3 linked regions of the Arabidopsis thaliana genome follow. The protein of the gene in region 1 purifies or fractionates together with the protein of each later gene. This does not show direct contact. Each region holds a gene or a part of one and is shown in the gene's direction. Other genes may lie near its edges.

Region 1 (3,753 bases):
CCCATAAATCCATGATTTTAATAGAGTTTCTTTAGTCATTTGGTTCATAGTTCTGATATTATTGGTTTGACCAGGTATCTGTACCTCAATGAGACTTTCTCCTCATTGCAACTGGTCGGAGCAGCAGTGACTTTGGTCGCTATATACTTGGTGAACTTTCCCGAAGGCAACGACTGAGACACTCTTTGAGTTCTTACTTACACTCTTTGAGTTCTTACGTCATTTTTAAACTTGTTATGAAGGTGGAAATGTATCATAGTTTCATTATCTTCAATCTTATTGTATATAATAAAATGAAGCATCATAGTTCAGTGTTAATCAAAAGCCAAGTTTCGTAATTACATAAACAAATGTTGCACAACACGATACAGCAGAAGCAGATTCTCTTACTTCCGCCACAACATTTACAATCAGAGATCAACCAGTATGGTAATACAGGTGTGAGCAGTTTTGGATTAAGTAGTCTTCTCATCTTCTGGTTTAGCTTCCATGTCCGACATACAAGCCACATCAGCAACTAGTCTCTCAACAGGCACCTTGCTCACATCCCATCGCATGCCTATATCTGAAACTAAGCGACTGGTGCAGTACATGCCATAGCCAGCCACAGCCAAACCACCAAAACCTGCTACAAACCTGAGTGGTGAAGAAAGAAGAACACTGGCAGCTGCAACAATTGAAGCAGCTTGACCACTCCTTCCCACGTCGGTGTTTGCCACTAGCAAACCCGTTTTGCAATAGATGGCAAAATCTTCACAGTTGTTCTTGAAGACATTGTACACACCAAAACCATTTTGCAAGAGAAAATTTGCTCGATAGATGACTTCTTCTGGAGGATCTGAAGATGCTATAGTGCATACGCCGCCTCGAGGTTTGGCAAGAAAGATAGCAGGGGAAACACTGTACTCAAAGACATAGAGATCACCTCCGGCAAGGAAACATTCAAGGCAGGAAGATATAACACCGCCAAGATTGGATCGATCTCCACAATCAGGACATGGGTTGTCTCCATGATTATGAGATGAACTAACAATGATGTTGTCCAAGAAAGTCCCAGTTCCAGTCTCTTGACCATCACCACGAGTAAAATGGTTGACTTGTCCATTACCTACATAGATTCCTGCAAATCACACACACATACAAGTTAACGTGATAGATTACATAACAAAGAAAAGATAAATTCAAGGATTACAATCTAGCCTAGTAACAGAGAATAGCTGTTAAAATCACATTTTCCTAAACCTTCTACTAATTTGGATCCAAACGAAAGAATCACATTATTTCCCCCAAATTTGAAATTTTCGCAAAATCTAACCAGTTGCACAAATAATCAAATTGAGACAGCTAAAATTGGAAATTGAATCATCTCGTATCATCATGAATGTACAATGTATGTATCTCTCTGTAAAAAGGGAATTACAAAGAGAGAGATAAGAGTGAGATCGAACCGTGATGAGCGTAAATGTAGGCTTGACGCCATGAATAGATGTGATCGCCTGGTTTCACATCGTCTCTGGAGATTTTATTGGAAAGGAATCCCATCTTCTCCGCCGACGAACGGAGAACCAGAAATTAGGGATTGCGTCGTCAGAGAGAGAAAGATCTTATTTTTTGCTTAGTGTGTAGGGTTTTCCATCTTCCTTGGATAACATCATAACTTTTTTAAAGTTCCATAAAGACATTGATCTTTTGACTTTTGAGTTTTTGACCCCAGAAAAAATATAGTTTATTAGAAATTTAAATTCTAATTGCTTAAATCTTAAACGACACCGTTACACCATTGGGCCTCAAATGACATTGACTCTTCATTTAATAAAAAGCCCAAATTAAAATTCAGACTCGTCAGTCGTCACCATTATTTCATCCCTTAAACCAAAAATCTTAGTTTCAGACGGAAAGAGAGAGTATAGCCATGGAAGTCTCAAATCAGACCAGAAAACGGAAAGCAATCGACGCCGGACATGGCTCGCAGCCGACGGCGTATCGAGGCTCAGATGGTGTAGATCTTTCTCTCCTTGAAGCACTTGAGAAGTCTTCGCATAATGGAGTAGAAGCGCTTGATCTTAAAACCCTAAAAAAGCTTGTCCTCTCCTTCGAGCGGCGTCTTAGAGACAACATAGCTGCTCGTCTCAAGTATGTGGAGAATCCAGAAAAGTTCGCTGACTCAGAGGTTGACCTACACGACGATCTTCAGAAGCTCAAGGTGCTCGCTGGAGCTCCGGAACTTTACCCGGACCTTGTTGCTTCCAATACGGTTCCTTCGATTGTCAATCTCCTCTCTCATGAAAACTCCGATATCGCCAACGATGTTGTTCAGCTTCTTCAGGATCTGACTGACGAAGATGCCTTAGAGGATAACGATGAGCCTGCGCGTGTGTTAGTCGACGCCTTGGTTGAAAACAATGTGCTCGAGCTCTTGGTTCAGAATATGAATCGTTTGTCTGAGGCTGACCCTGACGAAGCTACGGCTATATACGCAACTTTGACGGTGATTGAGAATTTGGTGGAAGTAAAGCCGGCTGTTGCTCAATTGGTGTGTGAAAGGACGAAGCTATTGCGGTGGCTTCTGACGAAGATTAAGGTGAGGGAATTCGAAGGAATCAAGCAGTACGCGTCTGAGATTCTTGCAATTCTGCTGCAAAACAGTACGGCGAATCAGAAACGGCTAGGTCAGATGAATGGTGTAGACGCTGTGCTTGAAGGTGTGGCGATGTATAAGTCAAAGGATCCTAAAACTCCTGATGAGGAAGAGATGTTAGAGAATCTGTTTGATTGTTTGTGTTGCCTCTTGATGCCATTGGAGAACAAGGAGAGGTTTGTGAATGCGGAAGGTGTAGAGCTGATGATTATTATCATGAAACAGAAGAAATATGCTTACGGGTCTGCTATTCGAGCTCTAGACTTCGCCATGACCAATTATCCACCAGCATGTGAGAGGTTTGTGGATGTTATGGGACTGAAAACAGCATTTGCTGCTTTCATGGGTAAGGCAAGTTTTTCAATCCCGTTTCTTTTTACCATCTTTATGAACTGTCTAGTGACTTATTGGGTATTGAAGTCTGTATCTTTTGTTAGTAAATGCTTGCGTAGTAGATCAAAGTCATGTGAAAGAGGCGATTCTGAGGCATTCTTGTCTATTGATTTTGTTTAGTTCTTTGAATGTTTAGATTCCGCTAAACAAGAGAATCAAAAGGGAGCGGTATAAGGAGGAGCTAGAGGAGCGGGTTATTTCCCTGATTGCGTCATTATTTGGTAAGAAGGCAAGTCATATGTTTCAGTAAAAGTGACGTGTTTTCTTTGCATGTTCTTGATGTTAATTTCTTGGTTTTCTTGTTTGTTGGCTGTATCTTTCAGCTGGGATATTAAGGGGTTCTAGGAGAGATCGATTGTTGAGTAAATTCGTGGAGAATGAATTTGAGAAGATTGACCGGCTCATGGAATTATATTTGAGGTAATAGAAATGTTCTCTTTCTCTTCAGTAGTCTACCATTTTAAGCATTTTGATTAAAAAGCTAAGGCTTCTATATGGTGAACGCGATGGTAAAATGCAGTTACCTCAAAGTTGTGTTTCCTCTCTCATTATTGTTTTGCACTTGGCAGATACTCTGATAGGGTTAGATCAGAGGCGGAAAGGTTAGACCAGCTTGAGCTTGATGACCTTGAGGTAATTTCACTTTTATCATTTTCATATTTTGATGTTTTCATTCTGAGCTTGAATCTGTTTATGAACTGATTTCACTGTTTTACTTTTCA
Region 2 (3,753 bases), on another chromosome or scaffold:
ATATAAAGTTTGATAAGCGAGAATTATATCAAGACGATAATAGAAGTTACCTTAATTCAAATTGTGGAAAAATCATATACATATGAGTAATTGGAAAAGTGGAAGATGAGCCGATTTATATAAATTTTGAATTTTGTTAATTGTGAATGTAATAATAACTAGCGAAAACATTAAGAATTTTTATGCAACCGTCAATGATTTCATGGGATCTTTATCAAAAGATCAAATTGAGAAATATTCAATGACATCTGATGCATATCACAATCTTTGAATGCAATATAGTTCAATGCGCTTATCGTCTTGCTTGCATTATTACAGAACTTATTGATGGTATTGGGATTTTGTATCCAGTTTGGGCAAATAAAGCCATCAGATCACTATCTTGCGTGTCTGTGTGACATGTAATGAGTTTAGCTTGGAGACTTCAAGCCCATTTTCTAGAGTCAAATTTAACGTTGCATTTGATTTAGAAAAAAAATCAAAAGAATTCTTGAAGATCTTGAAGTGTACCTCATACAAAGATTAAGGATTCTAGAGGAGGTGTTTGACATTTGAATCTATCAACATTACTACTCTCTCCGTGTCTCTTCAATTCAATTTAGAAAACAAAAATATATTCATTGCTTTAAGTACTTTGTTCAGTAAAACATAGTTCTTATTCTCTTTTATCAGTCTCACTCTCACCAAATTACCTACAAGTTAAGATTTTCTATCCACATAAAATATCAAAATTGAGGACTGAATCATGATTTTATAGATAACACTACTTCAAAATCTTACTATATTGGAATTAGATATGATTCATAAATTCATGAAATCCATGAAACTACAATTTTATTCCTAGTGTATAGTTCGATCTATCAAATTGTATATGGGTTATCGATATATTTGGATGATTGACACGAAAGAACCAAGTATTTTGAATAAACTTTTTTCCAAAATATTAATAATGCATAGTACTTATTAAAAAATCAAAAAGACCTTGAAAAAGAGAAGAGATTGAACTTATTTATCAAACACCAGATCACCAAAAATTTGGTGCGAAAAAGGTATCTAGTAACTAGTAAGACTATTTAAAAGCTCTCATTAATCAAAACCAGACTATTATTACTCTTTTAAAAAAAAGACTAGACCTCGAGTGAAGAAATAAAATTAACAGTCAAACTTATTTCTCAGATACCAGAATACCAAAAATTGGCGCGAAAGACAAAACGAAACCAAAAAATGTAGAACAAAGTCAAACTTATTTCTTAAATATCAGATTACCGAAATTTAAAGCGAAAAACTGAATATTTGATAAACACTTACCGAAACCTCTCACTAATCTAAAATAAAGTATGTATCCCTTACCATGTTCAAAAAGAGCGCGAATGAAAATATAGAAAACGGTCAAATTTATTTCTGAGTTACCAGATTACCGAACATTTACCGCGAAAAACAGAAAAACGGTCAAATTTATTTCGCAGATACCAGATTACCGAACATTTGTTTCGAAAAAACAGAGTATCTAATAAAACTTTCTGCAATCTTACAACCATTACAATTTAATGTATCATTAACACAAAACTCTTAATTTCAAGCTTGATAAACATCTATTACCCGAAAAATAAGCCAATCCAATTAAAAACATATCCATAGATACAACAACAGAAATCAGGAGATACGCGTCAAGATCTAAGAGGATGAAAGATAAAACTTATCGTGCTCTCCTCCTCATCAGATTCATTTTGCGGACTCCTCCTCATCTTATTAAATCCGCTTAATTGTTTTTGGGTCCGCCCTTTTTCTCTTTCACATCTTTCTTTCTCTCGCAAACCCAAATTCTCTCAGCGCCGGTCAAATACTTGTCTCTCTCTCTCTCTCTCTTTCACTCTTGTCTTGTCTCCTTCGAAGCTGTTTGTTCTGTAAGAAAGATGGAAGCAGGTGGCGCGTACAATCCACGCACTGTTGAAGAGGTGTTTAGGGATTTTAAGGGTCGTAGAGCTGGCATGATTAAGGCTTTAACCACTGGTAACAATTTGTTTTTTCTTTCTTCTTATTACTATCTCAGTTTTGTCACCGGAAAAAAACTGAATTTTGAGATTACCCTTTTGTGTGTGCAGATGTTCAGGAGTTTTTCCGACTTTGTGATCCCGGTGAGTGTTGTTGTTCCTTTGAGATTTGATTTGAATTAACGAAAGTTTTGATTTTTATTTGTGTTTTTTGAATTTTTCTATGTTTTGCTCTGTTTTAATCTGAGTGTTGTTGTTTCAGTGAAGCATTTAGGGTTCATAGTCTCTCTCTCTCTCTCTTTTCTGTTTATGATTTTGTTTAGATTTATTTGAATTGCGCTCCAGTGTCGAAAGTATTGATTTTTGTTTGACTTGGTTCGATTGTGTTTTCAACTAAAGAAAAAATTTGTTTGTGATCCTTGTGAGTGTTGTTGTTCCTTCGAGATTGATTCTCGCCGGCGAAAGTTTGGTTTTTTGAATTTGCTTCGTTGTGGTTTGTTTCAATCTGATTGTTGTTGTTTCAGTGAAGCATTTAGGGTTCATAGATTCTATTGTCTCTGTTTTGTGGATAAAATTGTGATTTTGTCAGATTTATTTGAATTGCAGTGTAGAGTTTGAGCGGAGTCAAAGTGTTGATTTTTTGTTTGACTTGGTTTTAATTTAAGGTTTTTTGAACAATTGTCATCATTTTCCTTTTGTGATTATAGAAAAGGAGAACCTTTGCCTTTACGGACATCCAAATGAGCACTGGGAAGTGAATTTGCCAGCTGAAGAGGTTCCTCCTGAGCTCCCAGAGCCTGTCTTGGGTATCAATTTTGCCAGAGACGGGATGGCGGAAAAGGATTGGTTGTCCCTTGTTGCTGTCCACAGTGATGCTTGGCTTCTTGCTGTTGCTTTCTTTTTTGGAGCCAGGTTTGGATTTGACAAAGCTGATAGGTATGTATATCCTTCTCCTCTTTAAGTCTAATCTTCTTACATCTATGTTCCTTGGTGGTATATAGATGCAAGCCTCTCAGTCACTCATTGTTCTACTCCTTCACCGTTTATGTAGCTCTCTGTGATTTATGTTCTTTCACATTTGTTACAGGAAGAGGCTTTTCAATATGGTGAATGACCTCCCAACAATCTTTGAGGTTGTAGCTGGCACTGCTAAGAAACAAGGAAAAGATAAGTCCTCTGTTTCCAACAACAGCAGCAACAGATCCAAATCAAGCTCCAAGGTAGAGACTTTGTTTTCCACTGTACTTCTTCTCTACAGTTTAATCCTTGTACTAATTCTGGTTTCTTTGTCTCACGTTACAGCGAGGATCTGAATCCCGTGCCAAGTTCTCAAAGCCGGAGCCGAAAGATGATGAGGAGGAGGAAGAGGAAGGTGTGGAAGAGGAGGATGAGGATGAGCAAGGTGAAACACAGTGTGGAGCATGTGGTGAGAGCTATGCAGCTGATGAGTTCTGGATTTGCTGTGACCTCTGTGAGATGTGGTTTCATGGAAAGTGTGTTAAGATAACACCAGCAAGAGCTGAGCACATCAAGCAATACAAGTGCCCTTCTTGCAGCAACAAAAGGGCTCGTTCCTAAATTTGTTGACCGCTCGCTTCTGTGTATCTACCTTTGCATATGATGATGAACAGCTTAACTGTTTGGTTTAGATCAGATTTGTCATATGGATTTGGTAATTTAGGAAGACATTTTAGTTTTTTCATTGTTACATTTTGGCGATTGAAGGGATAACTCTTTGTTTAGGGGTAATGATCTTTTGCTC
Region 3 (3,753 bases), on another chromosome or scaffold:
AAGAAATCTGTAAAAGCAAAATGTTGGAGAACGAACCAGAAGAGTAGGAATCGCAGCAAAGAAGAGCCACGATGCTGAAATTGCTGTCTGCAACAGAACCCATGATGATGATTGTTTACAAAGTGACATAAAGTCCAGATCTTTATTGAGCAATTTGAATCAAAACCTAAATCCAAGAGAGGCTTACCACGCAAGCGACGACATTGAGCAAGACGAAGTGCTTCTGTGTGAATGTCCATTGAGAGAGTTGGAGAGGAGGCTGTCCCACGGACGATGTTAATTGGGAAGAGATCGATGGCTCCTGAGGATTCGAGTACAATGCAGAGGGAGTAGAAGATGCGATTGAGTCTGAACCCTTGGTCAATCGTGAAATCGGTGAAGCTAGCCGGAGAGTGACCCGTCGGCGAAAGGAGAGATTTTTATCGATGAATCCGTTATGGAGAATCGGATTCCAAGAGATTAGAGATTGGGGTGATTGCAATTTCGAAGGCGAGAATAACATTGTGAATGGTTTTAGCTCTATTCGTCAGAAACCATTGTTAAGCTTCGAGTCGACGATAACAATGGATTTCAGTTGTGTCAGCGAGAAAATTTGCGTCAAGTTTAGAAACAACAATATTTCACGAAAAGTCCTCTGTTTATGCGTTAACTATTGAAAATAACCCCATTACTATCATTTGAGTTAATTTGACCTTCTTTGCGTCATATGCAAAATCGGAACACCACCACATTGGTTTGGAGGTTTGTGAGCTACAAGCCTATAAACTACACGTAGCACCTCCCTATGCACGTGTCACATGAATGATTTTAAGGGTTTGGGCTGATGTTTGAGCTATAACTACATATATACATTTGGTTTGATTCGTTTTTCTTACATTATAGTTTCATCAAAAGCCAAAGCATAATTGATGGATCAAGTACTCTACTCCTCTTACATCATAAAAATCCCTGTAATATCACGAATATCACCATCACAAGCTCAACTTACGACCAGGCTCAATAACACGACTTATTTTGGCTTGTCATCGTCGAGAGGCAATTTTGGGAAGGTGTTTGCAAAAGAGTCTCGTAAAGTGAAACTGATTAGTCCGGAAGGTGAGGAGCAAGAGATAGAAGGAAACGAAGATTGTTGCATACTTGAGTCTGCGGAGAACGCGGGACTTGAACTGCCATACTCGTGTAGGTCAGGGACTTGTGGGACATGTTGTGGAAAGTTGGTGTCAGGGAAAGTGGATCAGTCACTAGGGTCCTTTCTTGAGGAAGAGCAGATTCAAAAAGGTTACATCCTCACGTGTATCGCACTTCCACTAGAAGATTGTGTTGTTTACACTCACAAACAATCCGATCTTATATGAGTTACACATGCCTGCCTTGAACTTTTGAAATCTCAGTATTAAAATATGTATTTCAGTATTTGATGTGTTTTGATGTATTTTTATGTATTGATATCATTTTACATACGTTGATTCAAAATATTTAAATCGGATTCCACTTACAAAATCAGACTAGTAATGTATATGTGCTTCGATCATCTTTGTTCAGTAGTTGAGGCTTTTATCCCCATCATGGGTCTGTAATTGGTATCAAATATACTATATAGGCCCATTAAGGATTCGTAAGATATGGGAAATAACGTTGGGCTTTATTTCGTCACCATGGGTTTAGTTGTTGTTGTTGAGTTGTCTTTTTCGCATCTGGACGGATATTGTCCGTATGAATTTCTTAGACTATAAAGATTAAATGTAATTTCAAATTATTATTTGATATACTTAATTCAATTTTATAAATTTAATATCTTCAAAAAAGTTTGTGTCCACAATATAACAAATGTTATCAAAGCAAAAAAAAAAAAAAAAACTTCTTCTAATATAACAAATTTCCCTAAATAGCTTGCAAATTATCTGTAAACATGATGAAAATATTAAACATGATGAAAAATATTAAATTATCATATTATTCAAAAAATAATTAATTAGCCAAAAGCTATATATGAATTTTGGGCCTTACAATAATATTTTCGCAAACGGCGCCTAAATAATTTGGGGGAAAAAATCAAAAACCCTATTTCCTTTTCATGAAGAGCGCTCGTTGAAATCACGCAATAAGTAGAACACATTTGGACAAAAAGAAAAGATAAAATAAAATAAAAAACAAAACCCCCAAATTTGTGTCTCCTCCGGAAAAAAAATTCGAAATTCCGGATCCACCGCCATCAATCCCTAGCTTTCTCTCTCTTTCTCTATCTTCGCCGGCGAAACCAGTAGGGTTGCTCAATTCGTTGGTAGAGTACTGTGGCAATGAAGAAAGGAGCGAAGAGAAAGGGTGTTTCGAAAGCAGGTCGCAAAGCTGCTGTTGCGGAGACTCAGAACGATGAGGTGATAGAGGAGACGACGAAGACGACGCAGGAGGAGAGTCAACAGCATGAGGAAGAAGTCGTCGACGAGGTGAAGGAGAATGGGGAAGAAGAGGAGGCTAAGGGAGATCAAGAGGAAGAAGAGGATGCGAAACCTGATTCCTTAGAGGAGGATGAGGAGAATCAGGAAGATGAGGTCAAAGCTGAGGAAGTAAAGGAAGAAGTTGAGAAGAAACCTGTTGCTCGTCGTGGTGGTAAACGAAAGAGGGCTACGAAGAAGGATACTGAGATTAAAGATGAGAAGAAACCTGTTCCGAAAGCTAAGAAACCGAGAGCGGCCAAAGTTAAGGAAGAGCCTGTCTACTTCGAGGAGAAGCGTAGTCTGGTATGCTTTTGTTAACCTTAGCTTGAGATATTATGTAATTATAATTAGGATTCAGCACTTATGCAATATGGGGTTAGTTATGCTAATTTGATGACTCGAAATTCTCTGTGAAAACAACAATGAGATACGTTTTTGGACCTGTATGTTCATCTTATAGCTTAACTTATAATGTGGATCTGTTTAGTGTTCTTGGTTGCAAGAACGATACACAAGATATAACTTTGTTGGTGGCTTTATCTATGAGAGCAATTGTGCGCCATTATACTTATTGTGTCAGATATAGTATGTCATTCCAAATGAGTGGTGTGGTGTTATCTCATTATCAAAAATATCTTCAATACTTCAGTATTTTTAAGTTCTAATAAAAGAGGTTGTTTTTCTGGTCTTATTTCTTCTGTGTATGTTGCAAATTAACATGTGCGCTTGTTTTGTGTGTTTCAGGAGGATTTGTGGAAGGTTGCATTTCCAGTGGGAACTGAGGTATATTGTTTTTGTGGAATTTGGCTTCAACATCAGAGCTACTGTTTCCATTGATAGTCCTTGCTTATGTTTGTTACATTGTGATGGCAGTGGGATCAATTAGATGCACTTTATGAATTCAATTGGGATTTCCAAAATCTTGAAGTAAGTTGTTTGGATTACGTTCTCTATTGTTTAGTTGACATGTTTTCCGGGGTGGACGAGAGTCTGATATTTTCTTCATTTGTATGTCAGGAAGCATTGGAGGAAGGAGGAAAGCTCTATGGGAAGAAGGTTTATGTCTTTGGCTGTACAGAACGTAAGCTACTTCTCTCGCTTTTTTTAATCTTGCTTTGATTATAGGTAGTTTACTGTCTTCTTATCGTTTGACTTGTCTAAATAATCCTCGGCTCTTGTGGTTCTTTCTAATTTACTTCAAAAATCTATGCTCTCTTCCTTTTCTTGAACATTTGCTTCTTGTTCTTGTCTAAGTTTTTCTTTTTAACGTTACAGCTCAACTAGTCCCCTACAAAGGCGCAAACAAGATTGTCCATGT

What was found.
Region 2: the proteins of AT3G02710 (region 1) and AL4 fractionate together in Arabidopsis thaliana (co-fractionation; one large-scale study listed by BioGRID). This does not show direct contact.
Region 3: the proteins of AT3G02710 (region 1) and AT5G10010 fractionate together in Arabidopsis thaliana (co-fractionation; one large-scale study listed by BioGRID). This does not show direct contact.

Annotation. Positions count from the first base shown.
Region 1 is NC_003074.8:581,272-585,024, forward strand, and holds the start of AT3G02710 (ARM repeat superfamily protein), read left to right. Parts: upstream 1-1,841; 5' UTR 1,842-1,912; coding exon 1,913-2,989; intron 2,990-3,167; coding exon 3,168-3,252; intron 3,253-3,354; coding exon 3,355-3,451; intron 3,452-3,600; coding exon 3,601-3,664; intron 3,665-3,753. Other genes in the region: AT3G02690 (nodulin MtN21 /EamA-like transporter family protein), read left to right, coding at 75-177; AT3G02700 (NC domain-containing protein-like protein), read right to left, coding at 456-1,120, 1,449-1,542.
Region 2 is NC_003076.8:9,158,382-9,162,134, reverse strand, and holds the start of AL4 (alfin-like 4), read left to right. Parts: upstream 1-1,641; 5' UTR 1,642-1,913; coding exon 1,914-2,010; intron 2,011-2,102; coding exon 2,103-2,135; intron 2,136-2,698; coding exon 2,699-2,927; intron 2,928-3,078; coding exon 3,079-3,211; intron 3,212-3,293; coding exon 3,294-3,569; 3' UTR 3,570-3,753. UniProt on the Arabidopsis thaliana protein: Histone-binding component that specifically recognizes H3 tails trimethylated on 'Lys-4' (H3K4me3), which mark transcription start sites of virtually all active genes.
Region 3 is NC_003076.8:3,125,801-3,129,553, forward strand, and holds the start of AT5G10010 (myosin-H heavy protein), read left to right. Parts: upstream 1-2,027; 5' UTR 2,028-2,297; coding exon 2,298-2,738; intron 2,739-3,179; coding exon 3,180-3,218; intron 3,219-3,308; coding exon 3,309-3,362; intron 3,363-3,452; coding exon 3,453-3,516; intron 3,517-3,710; coding exon 3,711-3,753. Other genes in the region: AT5G09995 (uncharacterized protein), read right to left, coding at 37-87, 188-502; FD4 (ferredoxin 4), read left to right, coding at 909-1,355. UniProt on the Arabidopsis thaliana protein: Essential protein required for basal thermotolerance, especially during heat-induced chromocentre decondensation, thus regulating transcriptional gene silencing (TGS).